7 linked regions of the Daphnia pulex genome follow. The protein of the gene in region 1 interacts with the protein of each later gene in a biochemical or structural test. Links are inferred from orthologs where the notes say so. Each region holds a gene or a part of one and is shown in the gene's direction. Other genes may lie near its edges. The genes, in order: polyubiquitin, ubiquitin-conjugating enzyme E2 S-like, E3 ubiquitin-protein ligase RAD18-like, protein UBASH3A homolog, peroxiredoxin-4-like, E3 ubiquitin-protein ligase AMFR-like and 26S proteasome non-ATPase regulatory subunit 14.

Region 1 (4,143 bases):
CGTGCCAGTTGCGTTACCGCTGGAACGACCTCCTTATGCTGCGACTGGATCCTAATCGTCCACTAAAGGAGAAAGACGTCCAGAAACTGGAACAGAAAATGAAACGAATGCAGAGAGATTTGCACTACGACCTGATTGCCTTCACGCAAACTCAAATTTTGTACACCATTAAACGACTTTTAGCAGCTGATTTGAAGGTTATTTACCGGGGCCATGCTCTAGAATCTGAAACTCCAAATGAAGAAATGCCAAATGAGATTAACCCGTTCTGGCCAGAATTCCAAGCAGTCGCCCATCCAAGGAAAGGTGGGCTGCAAATGGCCGACTTTCTTGTTTACGGATGGTATGAAATTTTATCATTGTAAATAACAACTCAAAAATTATTATAAGAAAATTTCCGATTTTCTAGTTTGGAAGAACCCGATTTCACCCAAGATTATCTCAGCACACCATGGGCTTGTCCTATATGCGAACTCAATTTCTACCTGACGGGTCTAGGGCGATTGAGGCACCAGGTCCAGTGCCAGAAGACAAAAGAGTTGATGGAAGGAGGTATGAAATGTTTTTTAACAATCTGTTTGCTGCCCTCTATCCAGTTTACAATTTTCCGTTTTGTTGGGTTATTATTTAGGTCAGGGTGAACCAGCAGAAGCTTCCGAGTCGAAAACGGGTTATTTCTGTCCTGATTGTCGCACCACTGTGGAGCTGACCGGCATTGATTTACTGCGTCATCAAAGGAAGCACCAACAGGAAAAGTCCAACAAACCTGAGGCAGATTAGTCCTATACACGCAGAAAGAAGCCTTGCCCAAAGTCCTTCAAATTAAACACGTGGGACACGTCGACACCAGCACTCATTTCCGCTGCGCATTTTTGCGAACATCATCACATTATAATCCCCTTAAACTCAAGGTTGAATAAAGACCTATGTAAAACGACGCTGAATTGGAATTTATTTGCAATGAATTATAGTTTTATTCAGAGTCATGGAAGCGTAAATACATAACGGTTTTTATCTTGTTCGGTCTAATTAAGAAATTTCTCCTTATTAGTTGTTTTTTTCTTCGTCACTTTCTATTTGTATACAAGTTTTGCCAGCAACCTCATACGTGTTTCTACTTTCAAAATTCTGCCACGTGTAAATATTATCTCGTAAAGGTTCGCAACCTACTTGAAATGAAAATATTGGACCCAAAAAGTTTGGTGGAAAAGAAATAGAAAGTATGAGAAATAAAGGAATAAAGGATATCCGCGATTATTTCAAGGCTGAGGCAAATCCGTACAAAATTAACGTCACTTAGATAAAAATGTGGAAACTTCCAGAATTAGCTCAAATTTCATAATCACGGAATATTCTACGTCACATATTGTTTCTCTGTCGTTGTAGTCACGTTTGAGAAGGTGACGTTTCATCGTTACGTTATCTAACGACAAACGAAAATACGAAATAATCCTTCTAGAAAAAGCTAGGGAAAGCCGCAGGGGACTTGGTACGAACCTCCCCAGGCGCTTCTGTCGCGTCTATATAAGTCGACGTCAGCCATTTTAAAAATCAATTCGCGTCCAGCACCCAACTCGAGCAGAACGTCTTAGCAGTTGCTTCGTCGAACACATATTTTAATTCAACTTTATCATCTGATTGATCAAATTTAGTAAGTTAAACCTTTGATTTCTTTGTCCTGAATAGATATCCATTGTTCTTGTGTGTAACTAGTTAAATTAACTAAGATTTTTTGGGGGAAACGAAAAATTTACGCCGTGGCAAGTTGTCCCTTTGTTCGATTGTGTCCGCCATTTTCTTTCCTCGTTTCATCTCTTTTCTCTTAGTAACAACTGGTTGGAAAATATTTCATGGTGTAAGATGAGACAGTTATTGAAATTTACTAGAAACATTTTGTATTACATTAGTTTTGATTGCAACTTCTTTAAAAATAATTGGCTAGTAATAAAATTTATGCATGGGCGTAACTTTCCTTTGTTCGACGTGACGTAATGATGACGATTGGTTATGATGAAACTTCTGATAAACTGGTTTTGTATATGATACTAAAGTAAGTTTAATTTTCGTTTCTTCAGAAAAAGATGCAGATCTTTGTCAAGACATTGACTGGCAAGACCATCACCCTTGAGGTTGAGCCTTCTGATACTATCGAGAATGTTAAGGCCAAGATTCAAGATAAGGAGGGCATTCCACCAGATCAGCAGCGTTTGATCTTTGCTGGCAAGCAGCTGGAAGATGGTCGTACCCTGTCTGATTATAACATCCAGAAGGAATCTACCCTGCACTTGGTCCTCCGTCTGAGAGGAGGAATGCAAATCTTTGTCAAAACACTAACTGGAAAGACCATTACTCTGGAAGTTGAACCTTCTGATACCATCGAGAATGTCAAAGCAAAGATCCAGGATAAAGAAGGTAACTATCAAACCTTTGCCTACTGTTACTAAATTAACCTGATGAGTATTAGGATTACAATGACATTTAGAGTGTCTAAATTTCTTCATGATTACAATTATATCGCAATAACCTGAAGTATTCAATACATTTTAATTTCCATAGTTGTCTGATTGAAATTACAAAATGTTTCTTTGTTCAGGCATCCCACCCGATCAGCAACGTCTCATCTTCGCCGGCAAACAATTGGAGGATGGTCGTACTCTGTCCGACTACAACATTCAGAAGGAGTCAACATTACATTTGGTGTTACGTTTACGCGGAGGCATGCAGATTTTCGTTAAAACTCTTACTGGAAAGACCATCACTCTCGAAGTTGAACCTTCTGACACTATCGAGAACGTTAAAGCCAAGATTCAAGACAAAGAAGGTAATGGAAAAAAATAAGAAGAGAAATTTATTGTAGTTGCTGATGACACTCTTAGGACACCTAAATATGGACCCTGATTACTAAATAATCTGAAATTTAAATGTTAAATGATTTTGGTAGCATTAATCTACTAGATAATATTAACGATTTGAATTGTCTACAGGTATTCCCCCCGATCAGCAACGTCTAATTTTCGCTGGAAAGCAGCTCGAAGATGGCCGTACTTTGTCTGATTACAACATCCAAAAGGAGTCGACTCTTCACTTGGTTCTTCGTCTCCGTGGTGGTATGCAGATTTTCGTCAAGACTTTGACTGGCAAGACCATCACTCTTGAAGTTGAGCCTTCTGACACAATTGAAAATGTCAAGGCTAAAATTCAAGACAAAGAAGGTACGTTAGTTTTTGAAAGTTCGGTTGTTCTGCAATGATGATAATTTTATATACGCTAATATCAACAACATGATTACAATTAAATCTGATGTGGTATCGTGGTAAATGGCAGAATGTTTAGGTAGAAATTTCAATGTTATTGCTTTTTCTGTAGGTATTCCCCCAGACCAGCAACGTCTGATCTTCGCTGGTAAGCAGTTGGAAGATGGACGTACCTTGTCAGATTACAACATCCAGAAGGAGTCTACCCTTCACTTGGTCTTGCGTTTGAGAGGAGGTATGCAGATTTTCGTGAAGACTCTTACAGGAAAGACCATCACCCTTGAAGTGGAGCCATCGGATACAATTGAGAACGTTAAGGCCAAAATTCAAGACAAAGAAGGTAATAATTTGGGGCAGTCTTTATTTTTTATTCCATCGATTATGATGACACTTTATTAGCTCTTTAATATGTACCCTGATTACCTATTTTCCAACGTGTACTGATATAAATTCTAGAACTTAAACAACTTTCTATGGCGTAAAAAATCTAATCCATTCTTCTACTCAGGTATCCCACCCGATCAGCAGCGTCTCATCTTTGCCGGTAAACAGCTGGAAGATGGTCGTACCTTGTCAGATTACAACATCCAGAAGGAGTCTACCCTTCACTTGGTCTTGCGTTTGAGAGGAGGTATGCAGATCTTCGTCAAGACTCTCACTGGAAAGACCATCACCCTTGAAGTTGAACCTTCCGACACGATTGAGAACGTCAAGGCTAAAATCCAAGACAAAGAAGGTAACATTATTGGAGGGATTTTCCTTGTTTGCTTACTATAATGATGACAATTTATTAGCTCTACAATATGTACCCTGATTACATTTTTTCCAACGTGTACTGATGCACATCATGGAGTATTCGGCAAAAACTCGGCAACGCAAATATATAATC
Region 2 (3,067 bases), on another chromosome or scaffold:
GGAATATCGACAGAAATTTTGATAGTACTTCGTTGTGTTTGACGCCAGGATACAATGAGATGAGTGTGACTATAACAATCAAAATGCTGATTACAATTCAGAATACTAAATAGTTTTAATTAATAATATTACATACCAAGAATAAAACAAATGAGCCAATTGTTGACTGTATAACCAATCCAAGCTGAAAGACTGCAGAATGAAAAGAGTGACAAGAAATACTGGAAGATAAAACATAACAACAGGTTACATTTAAAAATATCAAAATCTATGCACTGTATCAATTAAAGAAATCACCATTTTAGGATTTGTCCTTTTGAGATCAATAAAATATGTCATCTGGTTGTAAATTTTATCTTGAGTTTTCACCAGAGTTTCACAGATTATCTCAAACTTTTTCTCTATGGAGAAATGATCAAGTTACCTTTTGATCAAGTAAGAAAATGAGATGAAGAATGTATACCATTCAATGCTGTCCATTGATGAGGTTGTGATATACAGCTACATATTCTAGGAACACTGTAATCAATCAAACTGAGTATCAGAAAAAATAGAGATACGGAGGTGATGATTGGAGGATTCCAATACCAGTACATCCTAATAAACGAACAGAAACTTTATCATGTCACAGGAAAAATTTTTAAAAATATAGAACCTACAGAAATACAGTGCTAATGGTTCCAACAATAGGTGCAGGGTACCAGGATTCAGTCCATATGAGGACAGAATACAAGGCAACGAGAAAAACACGCCAGGTTTCAATACGCCGTTTTAGAGATTTTATCCTCTTTTCCTGAAATTGGGCAGAAAAACATAAACAATGGGTTTAGTGTGCTGCAAACAAACGAAAATAGTCACCTGGTCGGATACAAGAAGGATATCAGGCATTTTGAAACCTATTATATTAGACAGTTTTAAGAAACCAAGAGCCCGAGACGGCACGTATAAAAAAATAGAATAAATATTATGGCATGTGAGAAAGGTTCGTGACTCACACGCAACGTTGACAAGGACCTTGAAAATAGAATGTGAAACTCGCGAGTTGCAAATTACTTGAAATTCAACGCAGATTTTTCACGAATAAAAACCAATTCATGTCGAAAGAAAATGTTTTTATTTTAAAATCATAAAAAAAATAAATAAATTTTTCGAATACGTTTTTTTTAAATTGGTACCCATTTCGGCAACGGTGTGCATCTTGTATTCTTGTTGTCTCTGAACTCTGAGGCCAAAATTTCCTGATATTGTCCAAATTCTAACCGTTCTAACGGTCGTATCAAAATTCTTTTCAAATTTACTCTTCCGTTTTCTGTTTCGTGAACATATCACTTTTCTGCTCTTTTGTTTTTAACCCTCATGGCTTCAGTAAGTTTTTAGAAAATTGAGTTACAGCTTGCAATTTTAGACTTTAAAGTTGCGCCCATTTTGAACCGTTTAATCTAGGTTTCGTTTGAAAACTTGGCACCTCAAGTTAGTCGCCAAATTTGCAAGGAACTTCAACAGCTTATTAGTGATCCACCTGAAGGCATCAAAGTTATTCTCAATGAAGAAGACATATCTGATATTCAAGCCATTATTGATGGACCTGGTAAGAGTAATTCTCATTTAAAAATAAAGCCTAAAATTAAATCATTTTAAATCATTTCCCCCACAATCAGCTGGTACCCCATATGCTAGTGGACATTTTAGAGTAAAATTAGTGCTAGGAAAAGATTTCCCCTCTGGTCCTCCGAAAGGTTTCTTTTTAACCAAAATATTTCATCCCAATGTCTCGCAACAAGGCGAAATTTGTGTCAACACCTTGAAGAAAGATTGGAAGCCTGATCTGGGTATCAAACATATATTTCTGGTGCGACTATTTAAGAGTTCAATTCTATTTCACAACTAACCTAAAATCTCTTTTTTAGACTATCAAATGTTTGCTAATTGTCCCCAATGCAGAGTCGGCTTTGAATGAAGAGGCTGGCAAGCTCTTATTAGAGCATTATGAAGATTACTTTCAAAGAGCAAAAATGATGACTGAAATTCATGCCAAAGTTAGTCAAAATCAGGTAAACAAAACCAAATTTACCAACTTACTGTATTTATTTCATTTTCATTCCTTGATTGAAGTCGAACGCGGATGCCCACTTGAATGAAGACAACAACCCAACGGAAGGCCCTACAGCATCGAAAAAAGCTGCTACTGATCGCACAGTTTTGGCGGATAAGAAAAAGCCAGTGGCCAAGGACAAAAAGAGAACATTGAAGAGATTATGAGCGTCACTGTACATAAATGCCTTTTTCTCTGTTTCTTCTTGCTTCACATCTAGCAACGGTTTGAAAATATCCGTAGTCTTTCTCAGCGATAAACTCCATAATTCTCCATCTCCCATACCATTTGAATTGTTTCGTTCCCGCACTTCTATGCAGTGCGCGTTATTTAACGAGCAAATCTATCCATGTCTAGTTTTTACACTCGCGGAAGGGAGGAGAGTGTTGATTCAGTTTCCTTTTCTTTCTCTTAATTTTATGCTGATTTTTCAGTCGTGTGAGGTCGAAGGAAATATAAAAAAATTTGCTGATAACCCATTCAACTCATATTTTTACCTTTAGTAAGTTATCACAGGTTACATTTAATTATTGATTTGCTGTGAACGTTTAAGATTTTCTTGGAATCGCACTTTAATGGTTCGTTTCCCTGAATCTATTATAAATCCCTTAACCCCAGGTTACTCACTCGGAAGGTAATTTGGCGAGTGCAATTATCTTGGGAGTAACGACCTTGCACCACCTTTAGCAGGACCACACCAACCTCACTCACAACCTCATTTGACCTGCACCTTCGGTTGTGTACAGTTTGAACCAGTCTCTACGTTCCCACTATGCGACTTTTAATCATTTTAATTTTGTTCGTGACATGGACTGTTTGCGAAGACGACACCGAGTTAATCGAGGTAACATTTGAAACGGCCGATTGCTGTTTGGTTCGTAGAAGGTCATTGATCCAAGTTCAAAAACCTCCACTCAAATTGTGACTTTCCCATTTAACATTTTTCAGAAAAATTCAACAGCAGTTCGCGTCAAG
Region 3 (3,745 bases), on another chromosome or scaffold:
TGGAAAGCGTTGGACCTAACGTTACTTCCGTTGAACCAGGTTATTTCATCTATTTAAATGGAAACGATATAATAAAATTAAAAGAACCATCGATTACAATTAGGCGATCACGTAATCCCGGTTTATACAGCTCAGTGTTACAATTGTGAATTTTGCAAGTCTAGCGAGACCAACATTTGTAATGTTAACGGCACATTCCAAGTAATCCACTAATCCTACAGTTGATAAAACGAAACGAAATTTACATTTCTATTTATATATAGCTTGCTGGATTAATGAATGACGGTACGACTCGCTTTACATGTCGTGGTCATTGGTCATTGATATTAATCCATCTAAAGAAAATATTGGTTTGAATTCATTTATCTAATGCTGGTAAGTATTTTTAAAACTTGGATTGAATAATGATTATTACAGGCAAGAAATTTGGAATCACTGATTTCATCAACCCAGATGACTACAAAATACCTATAGAGGAAGTAATTATGGATATGACAACAGGAGGATTAGACTACGCTTTTGAGTGTTGTGGCATCCCCAGTTGCATGGTAGTACAAATTAAAATTTGTTAGCTAATGACTTTAATAGATTTTTTTGCATTTCAGAAAGCAGCAATGAATGCCTGTAAAGAAGGTTTGAGTGTATTAACTATTGTGGGAGTAGCTGATTTGACAGCAGAAGTCTCGTACAATCCTATACAACTAATCTATGGAAGAACCATTAAAGGGACCTATTTTGGAGGTTTAAAATATTTAAATAAAAATTTTAATACCATGGATCATACAATAAGGCCATCATATGTCAGGGTGGAAGAGCCGTGACCAAATCCCAAAGTTAGTGGATGAATATTTAGCCAAGGAATTGATGGTGGATGAATTTATAAGCCACACCATGCCAATTGAAAACATAAATGAAGCTGTGGAACTAATTGAAAAAGGAGAATGGTAACAAATGCTTAAAAAATTTTTTTAATCAGAAAAAAATATATACCTGCATATGTTTTTTATTTTCAGTTTGAGAAGCATGGTCACTTTCTGAAACAATTGAACGTCGCAACACAGTATTAAAATCTAATTTTCATCTTATTCCATTGATACGAAATATAATTGCATACCGTGGAGAATCCTATCATCTGAAATTATAAATTATAAAAACATATTTTGATTTCAAATTCAAAACAAAAAAAGTTGTACCGGAAATAAAAATGGCAACGTTGCTGTTAACATGAGACTTGAAAAGATTTTGTGATGGCGCGGGCTGTGGCTTTGATCATGTAAAATTGTGAAACAATAGTACAATACTGCATTGAAATGGGAGATTTGTTTAACTCAGATGACATTCCAGTTACTTGGCCGAGAGAGTTGCCTCAGTTAAAAAATATAGATGACCGTCTACACTGTCCAATATGCTACAACTATATGAAAAATCCTGTGATATCAACTGCTTGCTCACACAATTGTAATACCTTTATTAGTTTTATATTTACATATTAATACTAAGGCTTCATGTGTGCTTTTTTTTAAAATTTACAGTTTGTTCGTTATGCATCAGGAAAAACATAAGTCTCAAGAACAGCTGTCCAATATGTTTTGTTGACATTTCTGATGGGTTGCTGCGCCCAAACCGTTGCCTTGAAGAAATCATCAAATGCTTTCAGCCAGTAAAGAATTATGTTTTGAATACTCTAGTGAACACCAGAGATCAACAACAAGAAGGTTTTTCAACAGAAACTTCAAGAGACAGTTTATCTTCTCATTCCTCAGCCATAATTCACAAACAAGCAGAAAGTGAAATATTGCCTGGTCAGAATGTTCATAAAGAGAATATTTCATCATCTTCTTTCACAGCAGCTGATGGAAAAAGTCTGAACAGCTACATTTCTGTCTTTTTGGCATCATCAAGTGTTCCTGTCGTAGATACTCATCAACCTCCAATAGCATCATGCAGCCAACCTGTAAGAGCATCAAGACCTAGTGCTCATCAGAAACCTCCAAGTCAATCTTCTAATGATGTGAAAGAAGTTCTTTGTCCTGTGTGTCATAACTTGATAAGGGAGACTATTATCAACATTCATCTGGATTCATGTTTGAACTCAAACAAACCTGCCAAGAGGAAGCCCATGCCAAAGCTGATATATCATCTAATGAAGGAACAAGAGCTGAAGAAAAGGCTTAGAACATTGGGACTCAGCAATGTTGGTGACAAAGCTACTCTGATCAATCGACACAAGAAGTTTACCATTCTCTACAATTCTGAGTGCGATGCTTTGGAGCCCAGACCGGTCGAAGAACTGATAGAAATACATGTACGAGAAGAAGCCGAAAACCATCGATTGGCTACTGAACTACGTCTTGCTTCCGCTAAAGTGAAAACAAATGATATAGAAAAAATCGAGGAGGAAAATCTTCAGTATTTACGCAGTAACAAAGAGAGTTACGATCGTTTAATCAACGAAATTCGGCAGCGTCCACCTTTGCCGCCACCACCTATTACTCTACCGTTGCCTGAGGAACCTCCAGCTTTCAAAATCAAGAACGAGCCTCCGAAAGTAGAAAATGAAAGCGAAGAAGAAGTGACGGAGATCTATGTCCCACCAAAGGTTTACGAAATGATCTGTTTATCGGACAGTAGTGAAAGTGATGAACCACCTTCGATTAGTTCACGTCCGGTTTCAGCTGCTGGTACGTCTGATAGTGACGTCTCTAGACAATCAACTTCCGATGATTCCATTCCCGATCCATTGGAATCTGGGAGTTCTAAGGATAGCAATTCTTTGTCCGTTGGTGCTCAAACTATCACTTTGTCGACAAGTGATTCAAGTAGCAGCAATTCCACTTCGCCAACGACCTACAGTCCAGTTGAGTCACCTACCGAATTTTTATTTGAAGAAGAATCTAGCAGTAGCTTGAGCGCTATGTTGCCCACCGTACTGAAAATGTCAAAGAAAAGGTCAAAGTCTCCTTCGCTGAACATGTCCGACCGCAAACTGTCATTAAGAAGAAGATTTTGAAGATAGTTGTGGCATTATTGTGTAAATATTTTTTCTAATAATTTCTTTTTGTTTGTGCAAAAATGGTTTGCCCTGCTATTCTTGCATGCCAGTCATTTTGGTTCTAAATTTTATGTTTCCGATCGAGAATAAATTGCTTACAAATTTCAAATGAAAGCGACGAAAAATTGAAAATGTAAAAGAAACTGGCATCCTAATTGTTGAATGATAAATAAAACCCCAGAAATGTCCTGAGTATTCATTCCAGATTTAACTGAGTATCTTATTAAAGTGAAAGTCCTTCAGTCACGGAATGATCCATGCATCTAATTCCCTAATTGAGATGAATCACGTTTTCCATTAATTATGAATTGATTGATCTATGATTACACAAGCAGGATGCCTGCTTAGGAATAGGTACGTGATTTTTAAGTAGGAAAAGAGTAGTAGATCAAGGACCGGATATTGACCCAGTCTGTCAATCTAGTTCTGACTCAAGTAGAAGTGCAAAGTCTGATGACGTACTTCCTCGGCTATCCAAATCTACTGATGCACTCAATCTATCGATGATTGATCTTTTGATTTCTGTCAAACATTGGATGTCAGGGCAGTTTTGCGCAAGGCAGAATAATCTCTAGAAGGATAAAAAGAGAAACCTCACGTATCGCCAGAGGTGAACAGGTGAGGGCTTTTTGTGGGTCGTCAGAGATAATCGGATTGTATGCCTGTCATGAATACTAATCGTGTAGAAGAAAT
Region 4 (4,263 bases), about 770 kb from region 1:
CAAAAGATGTGATGGATGTTGAATTCACTGGGCGGTTTATCAGTCGGTAGTAGAGTCCCGACGAAAATCAATAGTGGGTTGCGCCCGACATCTTCGATTTTGTTCGTCTCCATTCACATCAAATTCAAGATTTTTCGGATGCGTGTTGAAATGGAAAGGCGATGTGAGGTTGATGATGATTTATAGAAGGGGGGAAATCCTCAAGTGTGTATTGCGCATGTGGAATGAGCACGATTTTTAAGCCCGCAACTCTTTCACACAACAAAATGCGCCCATGTGATACAAGTCCGTTTGTTTTGCAATTTAAAAAAAATGATGAAAAGCCCAGGATTGCAGCTGACGCCACTGCTGGTCACACACAAAAAAATGGATGCCAAATAGGAGGGGAATCATAGTAGGGGAGGAGGTGAATGACGGTTTTTTTTCACAGCGACAAGGAGAAAAGAGAAAAAGTGGAGGAGCTTCTGCTTTGAAAATTATTATCTGCACAACAGGTAAGTGTGTGTGTGTGTATGTGATAGACCGGAATCAATTAATCGGCATACTTGCTGTAGCTGGGGGAACGTGAACGACTGCGTGAGTCCCTGCAATAACAAAAAGAAAAGTTTGTTTTGATGGCTTTTGCAACAGGAAGAAAATGTCAGTAGTTAAGGATCTTACCTGCGAACTCGGTCGCGAGAGACTGATCGAGAGGCTTTCCTGTCGCGGAAACGATCACGACTGCGTGAACGTGATCGTCTGGGTGAGTATCCACCACCTCTCCTTGCTGGAGGCCCACCACCTCCTCTGCGGTCTCCACCACGTCCACCACGGTCTCCACCAAAGCCATTACTTCTCCTCTTGCCTGTAGACATTTCCACCTTCACTCTGGCACCACATAAACGCCTGTGAAACACAATAGCATAAATAACAGATTGTTTGTTGTCAATAATCAACTGCAACTCACACTCCATCAAGGGCACGAACTGCATCCTCTGCATCTCTCGGGTCTTCAAATTCAACAAAGGCAAAGCCAGGGGGATTTCTTGCTACCCAGACATTTCTCAGTGTGCCGTACTTGCTGAAGGCTTCTTCGATCTCGCCTCTGGCCGCGTTAGAGCCTAGATTGCCAACATAGACTTTACAACGCGGATCCCAGTCTTGATGGCGGGACGACATGGCAGGTGCTTTGATGGCAAACGACGATAGAACGAGCAGTTGTAACCGTTGAGTTTGAGTTGAATAAAACGGAGCTTAGTCACGATATCAAAATTTGTGTATCAATAAACTGTATTACCTGGTATATTACGAGTATAAATGGGCGAAACAATATTTAGTTTGACTGTCAAAAGCAAAGAAACGCGGCCTGAGTCCAAGAGGAGGGGAGACGCGTCTAGCCGGTTGTTTCCAATTACTCGATGTAGACAACCACATATTCAATTCGCATTTGTCTTTTTCTTGTTGCCAGTTTTCAATAAAAACATACGCCGCAAATTTGAACGAAAGAGATTTGGCAATCACGAACGCATTTTATTTGGTAAAAAAAAATAACAAAAATGCAGAAAAGATAAGTGTCATTTCATTTTGTTAATGAAAATTCGTTCGAGTCATGAAAAGGTTTGAAGATGTTTACAAATTTTTATTCGATCTTAATTTAATTGCTCTTCTTCATTACAGTCCACTGGCCATGTTATCTTCAACACCATTCCACTATATTTAGAGACATTATCGGGATATTAAAATCGAATTTCGGTATTATTAGGGATTCTTATCTCATCGCTGCTCATATGCGTCACCGTGCAAACTAAAAGTATTCGTCTTGAGAGACATGGCTGAACTACCACCCAGAAAGAATGCAACTCCGACAAAATTGACAAAGCTGTTGATCTCACCTCTGCAGGTTCTCCTGCAGATGGGTTTTCCAAAACACAGAGCGTAAGTCACCCTGTAGCTCATAATACTCGGCACAACATGTAATTCTGTTTGTTGCTTTTACAGGGAAAAAGCCCTCGCTGCAACTGGATACAGAAATGTTCAGTTAGCATCAGACTGGTTGCTGGCCCATGTGAACGACCCCACCTTAGATGACCAACAGCCTAGAGAGTATCTTCTTTACCTGTGTCCGGCTGGCTATCTGCAAAGTCAATTGCAGGAATTTTGGGCCAGATCAGTTCGAGAGTGTGGCAGAAACGGTGCTCATGAGTTCCTACCCCATGTCACTCTAGTTCCCCCTTTCAAGGTTTATCAACAATATATATATCTACTGAAACTGGCATCATTGTAACTGAGTGATTGATGTTAGGTACCTGACAGCAGTGTCCCCAGCATTGTGAGCCTCCTGGAGAGGATTACAGAGCATGAGAGCCACCCCATTCCTGAATTAAGACTAGAGACCTACATTTCACAAAACTTTATGGGCTTCTTCCTCAATCAAGACTCTGCTGAAGTCATCAAAGTCATGGCTTCTCGGTTTGCTAGGGAACTAGCGCAAATCAGTATACATTTACGAGATTATTATTTTATGGCTCCAGAACGTTTCATTAGCTTTGATTCTTATTGCGTGTTTTACAGACGTTGCAGCGGAAGCCCACACACAAGCCCTTCACCTGACGTTGGCATACAATTTTCCATCTGGTCAATTCAGCACACTGGAATATCTTGTTAGAGCTCTGAATCCCAACAATGGCTATTCTCATTGGCAACTACGACTTTACTCGAGAGATATCCGCCTTTCAGGGAAGAAAGTCTACAAGGTCGTCTTCCCGCACGTTCCCCGTGAAACGGACGAACTGGAATTGCTCCTGGGCGATTTTGTTTACGTCGATCCTGAAGCCTGTAATAATTCCATCGACGGGTGGATCGAAGGCATCTCCTGGCTTACTGGTAAATAAGTTCTTAAAAACTATTATTCTCTTGAATTCGATTTAGAAACTGCGGCTTCTTCAGGTTGTTCGGGTTTTCTGCCAAAGAATTATGTCGAGAAAACTGCCGAATCGGACGCCTGGACCCTGCACAAGTACCGCCCATATAATTAGATAGTTCATAATCGAATTTGCTTGTTAACATCAAACTGCTGTTAACAGGAGTGTGGAGTTGAATCCATCCGCTGACGACTTGGACGAAATCGACGGAATTTCAGCATCAAGCGATCAAGCCCGGAGATTGTTGAGTCAAGTGTCGCCGGAATTGGGTTCTAACAGCGGCAAAAGTTCACCCACCGTTCGCCAGGAAATTAGTCCACCAAGAGGGGTGGCCGTTCGACCAACAGAGCTTTCAAAATGTACGGAAAACTACGTCAATTCCGATTTAGATATGGCCGGATTGTCTCCTGTGGTTGAACGGCCTCTAGCCTTCAAACAGGGTCCTCGACGGTTGTTTATAGTCCGCCACGGAGAAAGGGTCGATTTTACATTTGGCACCTGGATTCCTTACTGCTTCGATGAATCAGGTATGTCGGATTATTCAAATTAATAGAAAATTTGAATTTTAAAATTATTCGTTCATCTTGCATTACAGGTAAATACGTCCGTAAGGATCTGAACATGCCTCTGAGCGTTCCCAAACGTCAGGGATCGCCCGAGTCTTTCTTCAAGGATTGCCCGTTGACTATCCTGGGAGAAACGCAAGCTGGACTTTTAGGCCAAGCTTTACGCTCTGCTGGCGAATCCAACAAGATCCAGCACGTCTACTGCTCTCCTTCGCTTCGCTCGCTGCAAACGTGCCAGAACATTCTGAAAGGCCTGGAGATTGAGCAGTCGATCCCGATTAGTTTGGAGCCGGGATTGTTCGAGTGGCTGGCCTGGTATCAGGACTCGATGCCGCAGTTTCTCACACCTTCGGAGATGCTGGACGCCGGCTTCCGTCTCCGCGAGCAGCACCAGTACTTTATCGACTTTAGCGAGCTTTGCGACCGGCGTGAGTCAGCTGAACAGTATTACATGCGCTCGCATTACGTCACCCAGTGCGCCCTCCGCTGCACTGAGCACATCGGTAACATTCAAATTGGATTTTCAAAAGAGTCTTGATCCATCCCTCTCATTTGAGACTTAATTATCTTTTAATCGAAAAAGGTGGAGACGTTCTCCTGATCGGACATGCCTCGACGCTGGATGCCTGTTCCAGACAGCTGGTGGGTGGATTACCGCGATCGGCTCAGGAGTTATCGAGAATCGTCCACCGGATCCCTTACTGCAGTTTGGCCGCCGTCCAGCAGCAGCAGCAGCAACAGTGTCCAGAAGAGCCGGCCGATGATTCAGCCGAGGAAATTGGTAGTAAGCCCCGTTG
Region 5 (3,808 bases), on another chromosome or scaffold:
CTGGAAGTATAAAGGACTTTAAATAAGAGTTACCAAAATGTCATTTGTATATATTATCCTGGAAATTTAATGTCAGAACACGACGGGTTGAAAACTCTTTGAAACTTTAGTCACTTCTCACTGAAAGTAATATCCTGATAGTCTGTTAATATACAGTACATTACATGTATTATGGTCTGTAAAGAAATTCTGAAATAACAAAATTCTTTTCCATATATAACTGCACTCTGTAGTTTGTTTATGTCTTTTTTTTCATAAAAATTTGTTTGAGCATCTTTTGTGGTTAAATCTATCAAATAGACACTTGGATCATTTATTTGTCGGAAATTTGTTTCTAAAGGATTAGTACAACTTAAAAAAAAAATAACTTTACATTATGATTTATTAAAATATAAACGAAGAAGAAAAAAAAACTTTTTCGAAGTTATTTGTGCTTTTACGAATTGCTTAAAGATGGAATATATTAAGTAACATATTGCTACTGGAAGGCGATTTTAACGACGATTTTTTGCTGAGCTTGGCAGCTTGATAAACATTGCAACCCGGAGTGGCAGAAATTTGAATTTGAAAACAAGTTATCAGTAGGGTGCAGCTCACGCCAATGCCAACTCGAAAGATAAACCATTGATCAACAGTAAACAGAATCAAGAATCAATTTGAAATATAATCTAGAACCGGCGGATGTTTTTTTTTACGTTCGAGACACTTCGCAAAAATAATCTGCATTTTTCAACCAATGAACAAAATAAAAATCGTCGAACCTTCTCGGGTCAATAATGAGTTGACGTAGGCTACCGTACGTCTGCACGAGGATGTCGACTATTCAACTATTAGGTCCAATAGGGCTCTTCGGGATCTGTTTTATTTAGCCGATTTATCTGGCAACGCAGCATGGTTCGAGACTTTTTTGAGGGAAGAACGGGGAGAAGAGGGAGAATGGGACGAATGGGGGAGAAGAGGAAACGTGGGTCCCCTTTTTTTTCGTACGCCCTCCTCCCTCCCACTCGTCCCATTCTCCCTCTTCTCCCCGTTCTTCCCTCAAAAAAGTCTCGAACCATGCTGCGTTGCCAGATAAATCGGCTAAATAAAACAGATCCCGAAGAGCCCCATACTAAATATAATCAAGGTAAGTTCTGAGTTTAGGGCTTTCGGGAGAGACACTTAATTCACGTTTGCTTACTTGAAGATTGTATTAGGCTAGTTCGCTACAATAGTGGTGTAATTTATGACACACAAAGGAAATATTTGTCTAATAACTTGTCCGAAATATCTTGCAGCTACTACAATAAATCCAAATCTAGTAATAAGAATCAAAATTTAAATAACTTAATGTATTTAGAAATAATTCTCAACTGATATTTTTCTCAAAAATTTTCGTGGGTAAAAATATATGCTTTATACTCGGGTAAACAGATGGCACTGTAACAGTGTTCACAAAATTGGGTTGAACGCCGCGGCCCGAAATATTTACTGCGTCATTCATGTTTGGTGTACACAGAACACAGTTTTGAAAGTGGCAGCGGTGGCAGGCAGCAGGGCAGAGTTGATTCTGCTACATTGTTGGTTTGCTACTGCCCTACTGTGGGCACTGGAATCTGGATATCAGTGCATGGGTGCATCAGTCAGACACTTGACAGTCTCTTTGAACACAGGTCATTGATTCGTATCAATATCACGTCAGTGAGTGATCACAGAAGGGATCAAACTGTATACTGCGAAAATGTAATTATTTAACTACATTATCAAACAATAAAATCAATGATTTTTATTGTTGTATTGATTGTCCATATGTATTTAATGGGTATTTTTTATGCTAGAGTGTTTTAAAACAGGTGGCTGTAGCGATAGCAAAAGAATGACGACGGACTCGAGAACGAAGTCGTACTATTACGTGGCACGATTAGCAATCTTCTTGTTCATAGCAAGTGCGGTAAATGGAGATGTCTGTCAGACTTATGCTGGGGGTGCTGTCTATCCAAGAGAAACAGGAAAAAGCAGTGGCCATTCGTTGCAATGGACAAAAGCCATGAGTATACTTTTATTACATTTGTGAATAATAAAATATATGATATTTAAAATCAGCATTATTTCTAAAATACAGTTTTTAATTGATCGTTCAGAATTTTTCTACATATTTATTGACATTTAGGAAAATTAATTGGTTATCAAACATTGAATTAAAAATATATGAACTGCAAACAATTTTAATGATCATTATTTCCTTTCTTATTTTAGTTTCAAAGCAAGCTCCTCTATGGGAGGGTACAGCGGTAAATACCTTTTGTATTTTCTTTGTATGCATTCTTTCATTATTTATTTTTTTTTTAATTTCCTGTTTAGGTGGTTAATGGCTCATTTAAGGACCTTAAATTGACTGATTACAAAGGCAAATACTTGGTCTTCTTCTTCTATCCCCTGGACTTTACTTTTGTCTGTAAGCTGTTTTATTATTCTTTCTAATCTTTCTGTAAAACAACAAACAAAAAACATTATTTTATATGAATGTCTTTGCAGGTCCCACAGAAATTTTGGCATTCAATGATAGAATTCAAGAATTTCGCGCGCTTAACACTGAACTTGTGGTAAAAAGTACATTTCATTTAAAAATTGAACTCAGCAGCTAATCCAGTTATTTCATAGGCTTGTTCAGTGGACTCACATTTCACTCACTTGGCTTGGGTTAACACTCCTCGAAAGGAAGGTGGACTCGGTCCTCTAAACATTCCGTTGCTCTCAGATTTATCACACAAGATTTCCACTGACTATGGTAGCTTTTTTCACAGTACTTAACCTTATAAATTTGCACCTACTTTATAATTTTTATATATTAATAGGTGTCTATTTGGAAGATGTTGGACATACACTTAGAGGTTTATTCATTATCGATGATAAGCAAGTTTTGAGGCAAATCACAATGAATGACTTGGTAATTTTAATGTGTAGAAATAGGATTTTCCAGTTTAGGATTTGTAATAATAAGCAATATGTGTTTCTACTCAGCCTGTAGGTAGGTCTGTTGATGAAACCTTGAGGCTTGTTCAAGCCTTTCAATATACCGATAATCACGGAGAAGTTTGTCCTGCTGGATGGAAACCCGGAGCCGACACGGTAAGGGATGACATAAGTAAAACGCAAAATAATTAATGCTATGAAATTTTCCTCATCAGATTATTCCCCATCCGATCGAGAAAAAACTATACTTCGAGAAACAAAAGGATGAAATTTGAATTATTAATTCACAAAAAAGATTCAATTTTGAATTGATTGTTGGTTATTGGGTTCAAGTTAAATAAATTGGATCAACAATATTTTAAATTGTTTGAAATTGAGTTTTAAATAATACAAATTGAATCTACTGACGCCAGGATAGACTGATGAGAGTAATAAAGGAAACCTGTTCAAAAAGTCTAGTTATTTTTCTAACTCTTACTCCTCCTCACACATCATTAGAATTGTATTTTTTGTCCAGAAACACATGGCCAAATAATTCCATATAACAAGTCATGAGTGCCCAGTGGTACAGAGTTTTGTAGCAAGTTATAACAAGGGAAAGCATATTAAAACATTTAGTTTATTTTTAATCGTCATCTTTGTTGGCACCAGAATCAGATACTTCATTTTCACTACTGTCTGTTGATTCATATACACACTGAGGTCTGTTTGTATTTACAAACAAATCATCACTTCCTGAAGAACTATCATCATCATCAGAACTAATGTCTGCACAAACTTCTGTTGAAGCTAATGGGACAAATTCCTTGGGCCTAAAGTTACATTTGAGATTTAAATGCTTCAGCAAATAAACATG
Region 6 (3,955 bases), on another chromosome or scaffold:
ATAAACATAAATGTTAACTGCTTGTGAAATGCGTGTTGTAAAACGCTACAGTATAAGAAATTGGAATAGAGCCAAAATGAAAAAAAAAAAAAGATTCTCTTTAAAGTGCAGAGAAAGAGAAAATGAAATGAACTTCAAAAGTCACTTCAATTACTTAGCCATCCCTTGTTTTCGCAAAGTTATTGTTGCTTCATTTATTTATATTGAAGGATTACCACTACATCGGATAAAAGCGAAACAGGGCGCAAATTTCAAATGGAAACCTTGACCTGTCGTGACCATCAGGAGGTACGCGATAAGACTTTGGTATGTAGTGGATTCAAATTGTCTCGAATGTGAACATTTACAGAATTTAACGGTTCAGTTACTTTGCAGAGCTGACGCCCTATTGTAACGAATGTTGAGGACGCAAATCAGGCGTTATAACAGTGCCGTGTGTGTGCAAGGACACCTTCTTCCGGTCCCCATCTGGTACGAAATGACACGCTACTTTTTTCATAACCGCCCAACAAGACGATAAAATCGGCTAGACATGCAGCTAGACAACGTTTTATTTCTGATGTTTCTCCCTTTTTTCTGTCTTCCATCACGCGTTGCCATCAAAGCAGAAATAATAATAGTGAATACATTTTCTTTTCAAGGTTGATTCGGGAGTGCAATTTAGATTAGCGTAATTGAGTACTCTTATGCGTGTCTTAGGGCAGTGCCATAAAACTGAGCATTTTTGGTGCGGGAGAATGTTGCGGAATATTTAGCGAATATATCTCAGAAAATTATTAAGGGATCTTATTGAAGTTGTTTCTGAGTAAAAACAATAAAATCTACTCAGACTTGTGACGTATCTTTTTCATTTTTAATAACAAACCAGTATTCGTCGATCTAAAAACAGATTCAGCCCAGTCCCAGCATCACATGCGTAATGAATAATTGAATATTTATTAGCTTGACTGTCCGAGTCTCCGAGAGCGCAATTCAGTCTACATCTACATTTGAGAACATGTATGCAAAGTTGACATTGAATACATTTTTTCCCCTGGGGATAGCGAGACGAAATCTGCCTTGTAATTTTTGCATATTTTTGACCTTGCTAGAAAATAGTTTGCTGGAACTTTTTGAGGTTGACGCCCAAAACGTCAGTAATTTTTTTTCATTCCGTTTGCAGTGTTTACGTGTACTAGATGCTGTTTAGCCTTACCCGCCTTATCAGAGTTTTGACACATTTTCGGATTATTGAATCATTTGACAAGGCACTTGTTATCGAAATGGTCGTTAGATAACGCAGTGTTATCAAGATGAAATTGCCTTGAATTGCTGTGCTAGCTAATCCTAGTTATTTCTGCTGATGTTTTCAAATGCAATTTTCACCCCAGATTTGTTAGTAGTTTTGTCGTCTTGTGAACCCAATTTTTCTGTGTCAACAACAACAACATGCCTGTCTTACTACTTGAGAGACTACCTCTCCCGAGTTTGGAAGCTTACGCGGTAGTCAGTGTTTCTCTTTTGGGTTTGTCTCTTCACTACGCTGCAGAAAAAACACAAAACCCTGAATGGAGGATGCAATTTGTTAAAACGAATAGCAGCCAAGAGATTCCCAACTCCTTGCAAGCATTTATTTCAAACATCCTGTCTCGTTACTGGCTCAGCTCCAGAGCTCAAGATATTGTGTCATTTTCTATCCATGACAGTCTCTGCATTTGGGTTAGAACATGGCCATCCTATATTATTAGTCAATATCCAACACTTTAATCCTTTTTTATCTTCTATCCTTTACAGATTGTTGTGAACATGGCTTACTGCCTCCTTGTATTATTTGGAAATTGGCTGCAGAAGCAGGTGTTTGGGGAACTAAGAGTTTCTGAACTACAGCACATCAAAGACAAGTTTTGGAATTTTGTGTTTTACAAATTTATTTTTATATTTGGCATTAAAAATGTTCAAAGTATGGAAGGTGTTATATTATGGGGGTCCTGGTTTTCTGTTATTGGCTTTCTACACATTCATGCTCAACTTTGCCAAGACAGATTTGAATATGTAATTGGATTTTATCTTTCTTTTTTAAAAGCTCAAACAGGTATTGTAATTTATCTTATGTTTGGCGAAATTATAGTTATCTATGACTCCATGTACCCCTCGAAATCGACACATCCGCTTGCTTACCCTGCTGGGATCGATTCTGGTGGCATCGGGATTATTATTTTTGATTTGCCTCGCCGTTGGACAACGCGCTGGATGGATTACATTTGCCTTGGTCGCCCCGGAATGTCTTCTCTTGGCTTTACGTACCACCCACGTTATCTTTAGATACATCCTCTACCTGCAGTCTTGTCATCCGCCCATCCATCAGATCTCTCAAGGTTACTTGAGTTGCGCATTCGCAACAGAGACTCTCGATGTGCTCAAACATCTGACGATTGTTGGATCATAGGGTGGAGTCCTTCGTCGTACTACGTGGAATTGGCGGTGGAGATTTCATGCCTCGTTGTGGATTTGGCACATCATGTGAGACGAAATTGCTTTCTGCAATGCGACTGAATTTCGGTAACCCCTTTTTTGTCTCTTTTCGTTTAGATTCACATGCTTCTGCGAGCGAATATGCTGCTCTCTATGGCATCTTTGGTCATTTTCATGCAACTGCGAGTGCTCTACGAACAGCTGTGTGGACGTCTCCGGCGACACGGGAACTACAAACGGTTGCTGAAATTGGTGGAATTGGTTTGTACTCGAGTCGATCTAAAATATCTTAATCTCCCCTTCTTCTGCCAAGTCTCTAGTTTTAATCATTTAGTAATTTATTCTGTTATAATAGTGCTGTCCCTTGGAAACACTCCATTTCGAACTCGAATCTGAATGGGAGGATAACAAATGTGCCATTTGCTGGGAAGCAGCAGCTGTAGCCAGACGGTTGCCGTGTGGTCATCATTTTCATCATGGTATTGATTCATAACAATTAATGAGGCAATCCTTCATCTATCTATACTTGTATAGGTTGTCTGTTGCACTGGTTGGAACAGGATCCTACGTGCCCTACGTGTCGACGCCAACTTTTAGAAGATGGATCGAAAGAAACTGCTTCGTCTTCACGTCCCCGGGAAACTGCAAGTTTTATATCGTGGACGGGCTGGAGTCGACTGTTTCAACAAAACACTGATACTCCGGTAGTAGCAGCTGCAGAAAACTCTCAATTGGAAGCTTTAGCTGATCAGGTGTGACGAAATCTATCATAAAATTCTACTAATTCTTGTTCAACAATTTAAATGTTTATCGTTGTAGGTACTTCAATTGTTTCCCGATTATTCGTTTTCTGTTATCGTTGAAGATCTACGGCAAACTCGCTCAGTAGACTTAACAGTTGAGAATATATTAGAGGGTCGTCTTCTGCCCACACTTCCCAGCTTTCAACAAGAGCCTAGTCTATCTACGTTGCCAACATTCGCCAGGCAAGAAAACCAATTTGATGTTTCCCAGGAACCAGAGAAGCTCTTTGTTGATGATCCGCAAGAAAGACAACACATTCTTCAATGTCGTAAGCATGAATTAATCGCGGAAGCTCGAAATCGCTTTCTTCAGAGACAAGCACTCGAAAACAATTCCACTATCATTGAAAGTTGATTTTCTTGCTATACACGTGTGATTCTAATTTGTTATTGATCCTAAAGTGCGTAAATTATGCATTAGTGCATCTCATAATTCAAAAAACCTGTTTGTATATTGGCAAGGTAAATTATGAGTAGAAAGATAGTGCCTTTTTAATAATTACGAAATACCGCTTCGCTCGACTGGGCGTGGAAGAAAACCCTCTCTATGCCGCAAGCTAGTCCCATCACACAGACGTTCACTGTCAAACAGGGCCTACAAACGTGATTTTACTGATTCACTACCGACGAAGTGAATGCGCAATCAATAGTAACATTTGATTACCAAACATGTAGAGGACGAAATCGGAAATGTGTGACAT
Region 7 (3,195 bases), on another chromosome or scaffold:
ACTCGGCTGTGAAGTGTCAAGTTAAGTGTGTTGGTCAGGTGAGAGATGCAATACAAAAAGACAAAATTAAGTGAATACCTACATCAAAAACTGTCGTGCGTGCCATCTTGAATACATTTCCCGAAAGACAATACAAGAGCTGCTCCCAAAATTATTCCTTTAGAAATGCAAAAAATTAATGGCCTCGAATAATTCGCAGTCGAACGATGTTCCATTGAATTTATACTTTTTTTGCCACAGCATGTAACAAAGGTTCTTTTATATGTTGAAATTCATTTGAAGTCTGTTTTGTGTATGGCATTATGTCCCCTAAGTAAATTAACCTGTTGAGTAATATTTTAGGGCATAGGCTGTATACTTCCTTCTACAGTATCAACATCTTTCAGGGAAATAAATAGCTCAACCATAAACTAGAATTGTATTTTAGGATATACATTAAGGCTACACATCCTTCCAGAATTTTGATATCCTTGCACCACACTCAGGCATATCAAACAATTAGGCTTTCTTTTTCTGCTCCAACTCTGTGATTCTCTTTTGATGAATGTCAATTGCATCCTGATGTTCCTTCATGCGTTGCTGATGAAATGTTATCTCCTCATCAAGGTGAGTTTTAAGTGTTTTCAGCTGTTCAGTTTGCTACCATCCATATAAAAAATCAATACAAGCTATACATAAATTGTAAAAAAAGATATTTCTACCATTTTACGGAAGTATCGTTCCTCATCAGCGGCTTCCTTCTTTCCGAAAGTTCCACCAGCTTCTCGAATGGCACCAGCTCCACCATCTTGGCTGTAATAAGCTAAACGACTAGAAAAGGCAAAACAAATGACAATTAATTCACGTCACAAAGGTAGAATGCTCATTAAAATATTAACTACTCACCTCATAATGGGTATATTACGAGAAAGCTTGAGCGCTGCAACAGATCGAGTCAAAGCCATTTTGTTTTGATGAGTAGACTCGGTGATTCACAAGTCAAACAACTGATTTACAAAGAGAATTCGTAACGACGTCAGACAAACGATCGTTTGGATTTCTACAAACGTCGCAATCGACCAAATAAAATTTTTATAATAATTAAAAGATACATCTGAAGAATAAAATTTCTTACAATAATGTATTCTCTTTAATGGAAGATCTATATTGATAATTAAAAACTGGGTTTGATAGAAACTGATAATGAAACATTTTTCATTCATTGTTGGGCAATGTTGCTAACCAGCATAAACCCGTCGAAAAACGTTGCGCGGAGCGTGAATTGACTATTCTGTGACGGAAGGATTCATTGTTTTTACCGGCCGTTCTACTACAAAGCAGTTTCCTTTTTCTTCATTCGAAAAAAAGTTTGAACTAATAATTTAAAGAGATAATGGATCGTCTATTACGGCTCGGTGGCCCGATGTCTGGCCTCGGACAATCTGCTCCGCCAACTGATGCACCGGTTGTCGACACAGCCGAACAGGTATGACAGATTCGTTTGCATTTACAATAAATTACTTACTATACCTATTATAATTGTTTTCACATTTTTGTTGTAACAGGTTTATATTTCTTCTTTGGCACTGTTGAAAATGCTTAAACATGGACGAGCTGGAGTTCCAATGGAAGTCATGGGACTTATGCTTGGAGAATTTGTTGACGATTACACAGTCAGAGTGATTGATGTATTTGCTATGCCTCAGTCAGGAACAGTATGAAACCATTATCATTTATCAATTTTGCTCACAGTAACTTAACAAACTTTATGTAGGGTGTCAGTGTTGAAGCTGTGGATCCAGTTTTTCAAGCTAAAATGTTGGACATGCTCAGGCAAACTGGCCGCCCTGAAATGGTTGTTGGCTGGTACCATTCCCATCCTGGATTTGGTTGTTGGTTATCTGGTGTAGATATCAACACACAGCAGAGCTTTGAGGCCTTGTCTGAACGTGCTGTCGCTGTTGTTGTTGACCCTATTCAAAGTGTCAAAGGTATTACAGATTTATTCATTTTTTTTTTTGCAGTTGTAATAAATAGTTTTTTATTTACAGGCAAAGTTGTCATTGATGCATTCAGGTTGATAAATCCAAACATGATGGTATTGGGACAAGAACCTCGCCAGACAACATCAAATCTTGGACATTTACAGAAACCATCAATTCAGGTGTGTTTGTTAGATTTTACAAAACATTAAATTCTGCAAGACTTTTTAATGGTTTTTTCTCCAGGCCTTGATTCATGGACTTAATCGCCACTACTATTCAATCAGCATCAACTATCGAAAGAATGAACTCGAACAAAAAATGTTGTGGAACTTGCACAAGAAATCATGGACCGAGGGACTATCGCTAGCCGAATACGAGCAACACTGCAAAAGCAACGAGCAGAGTGTTCGCAGCATGCTCGAATTAGCCAAAACTTATAACAAGGTAAATTCTGAAACATACCGGCCTTTGTTCGTAATCAGATGTTAAAATGATGTGTGTTGGACAGGCTTTGGAGGAAGAAGAAAAGATGACACCCGAACAACTCGCAGTAAAGAACGTTGGCCGTCAAGATCCTAAGCGTCATCTAGAGGAGGAAGTGGATGTACTGATGACTTCTAATATTGTCCAGTGTCTGGGAGCTATGCTTTCTACTGTGGCTTTCCGATGATTTACTTCAGCTGACGCACCTCTCATATCTATCCGATGAATACAATAATTCTCAAAAATCATTATTTTACATGCGAGTAGACCAACCAACCACGTACAGGATAGAGAAAATGGGTCGATGTCATAAGTGGTAACCCCCCGCATTCAAACCTTTCAAAAAAAGAATCGTCCAAACACGTCCTACTTGGTGTTTTCATTCGGATTCGCTTGCAATACAGCTTCAAAAGCTGCCATCGAAAAAGCCCCCCGTTTTCTGATCCCTTTTTAATGCACTCAACTTGGAACAGCGCAAGAAGGGTAAAAGGGACTAGTAGATCTTTGTGATACAGATTATATCGATCACCCGGAATGAAAGGAGCAAAATAAAACCTAGACCTGAAATAACTCTACGCGGATTTAGGAAGGAAAAGCAGAATGTGTGGTGAATGAAATGGCGTGGTTGCTCAAGATTAACAACGCGCCACCCACTGAGCATTTTAAAATAAACTCGAGTTGTTTGTGCTACGTGTTTAATGGCCTGCTTCTCGTGCTGTTCTGGGCTATTAGTGCATAGGGCATGAGC

The links.
Region 2: of the proteins of polyubiquitin (region 1) and ubiquitin-conjugating enzyme E2 S-like, one has a biochemical effect on the other in vitro, tested with the Homo sapiens proteins (10 studies listed by BioGRID, with this or other methods). The link is inferred for Daphnia pulex from reciprocal best matches to the Homo sapiens genes UBC and UBE2S.
Region 3: the proteins of polyubiquitin (region 1) and E3 ubiquitin-protein ligase RAD18-like form a complex in vitro, tested with the Homo sapiens proteins (7 studies listed by BioGRID, with this or other methods). The link is inferred for Daphnia pulex from reciprocal best matches to the Homo sapiens genes UBC and RAD18.
Region 4: the proteins of polyubiquitin (region 1) and protein UBASH3A homolog form a complex in vitro, tested with the Homo sapiens proteins (6 studies listed by BioGRID, with this or other methods). The link is inferred for Daphnia pulex from reciprocal best matches to the Homo sapiens genes UBC and UBASH3B.
Region 5: the proteins of polyubiquitin (region 1) and peroxiredoxin-4-like form a complex in vitro, tested with the Homo sapiens proteins (2 studies listed by BioGRID). The link is inferred for Daphnia pulex from reciprocal best matches to the Homo sapiens genes UBC and PRDX4.
Region 6: the proteins of polyubiquitin (region 1) and E3 ubiquitin-protein ligase AMFR-like form a complex in vitro, tested with the Homo sapiens proteins (10 studies listed by BioGRID, with this or other methods). The link is inferred for Daphnia pulex from reciprocal best matches to the Homo sapiens genes UBC and AMFR.
Region 7: the proteins of polyubiquitin (region 1) and 26S proteasome non-ATPase regulatory subunit 14 form a complex in vitro, tested with the Homo sapiens proteins (4 studies listed by BioGRID). The link is inferred for Daphnia pulex from reciprocal best matches to the Homo sapiens genes UBC and PSMD14.

Annotation. Positions count from the first base shown.
Region 1 is NC_060024.1:13,920,028-13,924,170, forward strand, and holds the start of polyubiquitin, read left to right. Parts: upstream 1-1,343; 5' UTR 1,344-1,651; intron 1,652-2,075; 5' UTR 2,076-2,081; coding exon 2,082-2,412; intron 2,413-2,593; coding exon 2,594-2,821; intron 2,822-2,984; coding exon 2,985-3,212; intron 3,213-3,366; coding exon 3,367-3,594; intron 3,595-3,762; coding exon 3,763-3,990; intron 3,991-4,143.
Region 2 is NC_060023.1:8,632,004-8,635,070, reverse strand, and holds ubiquitin-conjugating enzyme E2 S-like, read left to right. Parts: upstream 1-1,194; 5' UTR 1,195-1,356; coding exon 1,357-1,365; intron 1,366-1,443; coding exon 1,444-1,588; intron 1,589-1,658; coding exon 1,659-1,849; intron 1,850-1,907; coding exon 1,908-2,051; intron 2,052-2,112; coding exon 2,113-2,259; 3' UTR 2,260-2,567; downstream 2,568-3,067. Other genes in the region: ADP-ribosylation factor-like protein 6-interacting protein 1, read right to left, coding at 1-69, 137-221, 298-401, 464-597, 660-793, 859-888; uncharacterized protein LOC124197881, read left to right, coding at 2,865-2,936, 3,041-3,067. UniProt on the Homo sapiens protein: Accepts ubiquitin from the E1 complex and catalyzes its covalent attachment to other proteins. Catalyzes 'Lys-11'-linked polyubiquitination.
Region 3 is NC_060025.1:2,016,716-2,020,460, reverse strand, and holds E3 ubiquitin-protein ligase RAD18-like, read left to right. Parts: upstream 1-1,310; coding exon 1,311-1,458; intron 1,459-1,532; coding exon 1,533-3,010; 3' UTR 3,011-3,245; downstream 3,246-3,745. Other genes in the region: alcohol dehydrogenase class-3-like, read left to right, coding at 302-350, 418-548, 606-741, 806-944, 1,014-1,038. UniProt on the Homo sapiens protein: E3 ubiquitin-protein ligase involved in postreplication repair of UV-damaged DNA. Postreplication repair functions in gap-filling of a daughter strand on replication of damaged DNA.
Region 4 is NC_060024.1:13,149,973-13,154,235, forward strand, and holds the start of protein UBASH3A homolog, read left to right. Parts: upstream 1-1,463; 5' UTR 1,464-1,596; intron 1,597-1,656; 5' UTR 1,657-1,807; coding exon 1,808-1,914; intron 1,915-1,977; coding exon 1,978-2,218; intron 2,219-2,281; coding exon 2,282-2,474; intron 2,475-2,550; coding exon 2,551-2,862; intron 2,863-2,925; coding exon 2,926-2,995; intron 2,996-3,062; coding exon 3,063-3,427; intron 3,428-3,495; coding exon 3,496-3,969; intron 3,970-4,049; coding exon 4,050-4,263. Other genes in the region: RNA-binding protein 1-like, read right to left, coding at 533-584, 661-885, 947-1,158. UniProt on the Homo sapiens protein: Interferes with CBL-mediated down-regulation and degradation of receptor-type tyrosine kinases. Promotes accumulation of activated target receptors, such as T-cell receptors and EGFR, on the cell surface.
Region 5 is NC_060020.1:8,201,549-8,205,356, reverse strand, and holds peroxiredoxin-4-like, read left to right. Parts: upstream 1-1,431; 5' UTR 1,432-1,722; intron 1,723-1,817; 5' UTR 1,818-1,855; coding exon 1,856-2,030; intron 2,031-2,235; coding exon 2,236-2,270; intron 2,271-2,340; coding exon 2,341-2,434; intron 2,435-2,514; coding exon 2,515-2,582; intron 2,583-2,640; coding exon 2,641-2,767; intron 2,768-2,834; coding exon 2,835-2,926; intron 2,927-3,000; coding exon 3,001-3,108; intron 3,109-3,167; coding exon 3,168-3,227; 3' UTR 3,228-3,308; downstream 3,309-3,808. Other genes in the region: protein angel homolog 2-like, read left to right, coding at 1-22; probable RNA-binding protein EIF1AD, read right to left, coding at 3,578-3,764. UniProt on the Homo sapiens protein: Thiol-specific peroxidase that catalyzes the reduction of hydrogen peroxide and organic hydroperoxides to water and alcohols, respectively.
Region 6 is NC_060017.1:3,098,094-3,102,048, reverse strand, and holds E3 ubiquitin-protein ligase AMFR-like, read left to right. Parts: upstream 1-1,155; 5' UTR 1,156-1,428; coding exon 1,429-1,698; intron 1,699-1,773; coding exon 1,774-2,031; intron 2,032-2,107; coding exon 2,108-2,354; intron 2,355-2,425; coding exon 2,426-2,499; intron 2,500-2,568; coding exon 2,569-2,712; intron 2,713-2,806; coding exon 2,807-2,930; intron 2,931-2,985; coding exon 2,986-3,203; intron 3,204-3,270; coding exon 3,271-3,609; 3' UTR 3,610-3,637; downstream 3,638-3,955. UniProt on the Homo sapiens protein: E3 ubiquitin-protein ligase that mediates the polyubiquitination of lysine and cysteine residues on target proteins, such as CD3D, CYP3A4, CFTR, INSIG1, SOAT2/ACAT2 and APOB for proteasomal degradation.
Region 7 is NC_060022.1:5,168,487-5,171,681, forward strand, and holds 26S proteasome non-ATPase regulatory subunit 14, read left to right. Parts: upstream 1-1,201; 5' UTR 1,202-1,372; coding exon 1,373-1,465; intron 1,466-1,544; coding exon 1,545-1,694; intron 1,695-1,753; coding exon 1,754-1,970; intron 1,971-2,030; coding exon 2,031-2,143; intron 2,144-2,207; coding exon 2,208-2,408; intron 2,409-2,472; coding exon 2,473-2,634; 3' UTR 2,635-2,695; downstream 2,696-3,195. Other genes in the region: ATPase inhibitor mai-2, mitochondrial-like, read right to left, coding at 499-639, 702-810, 886-944.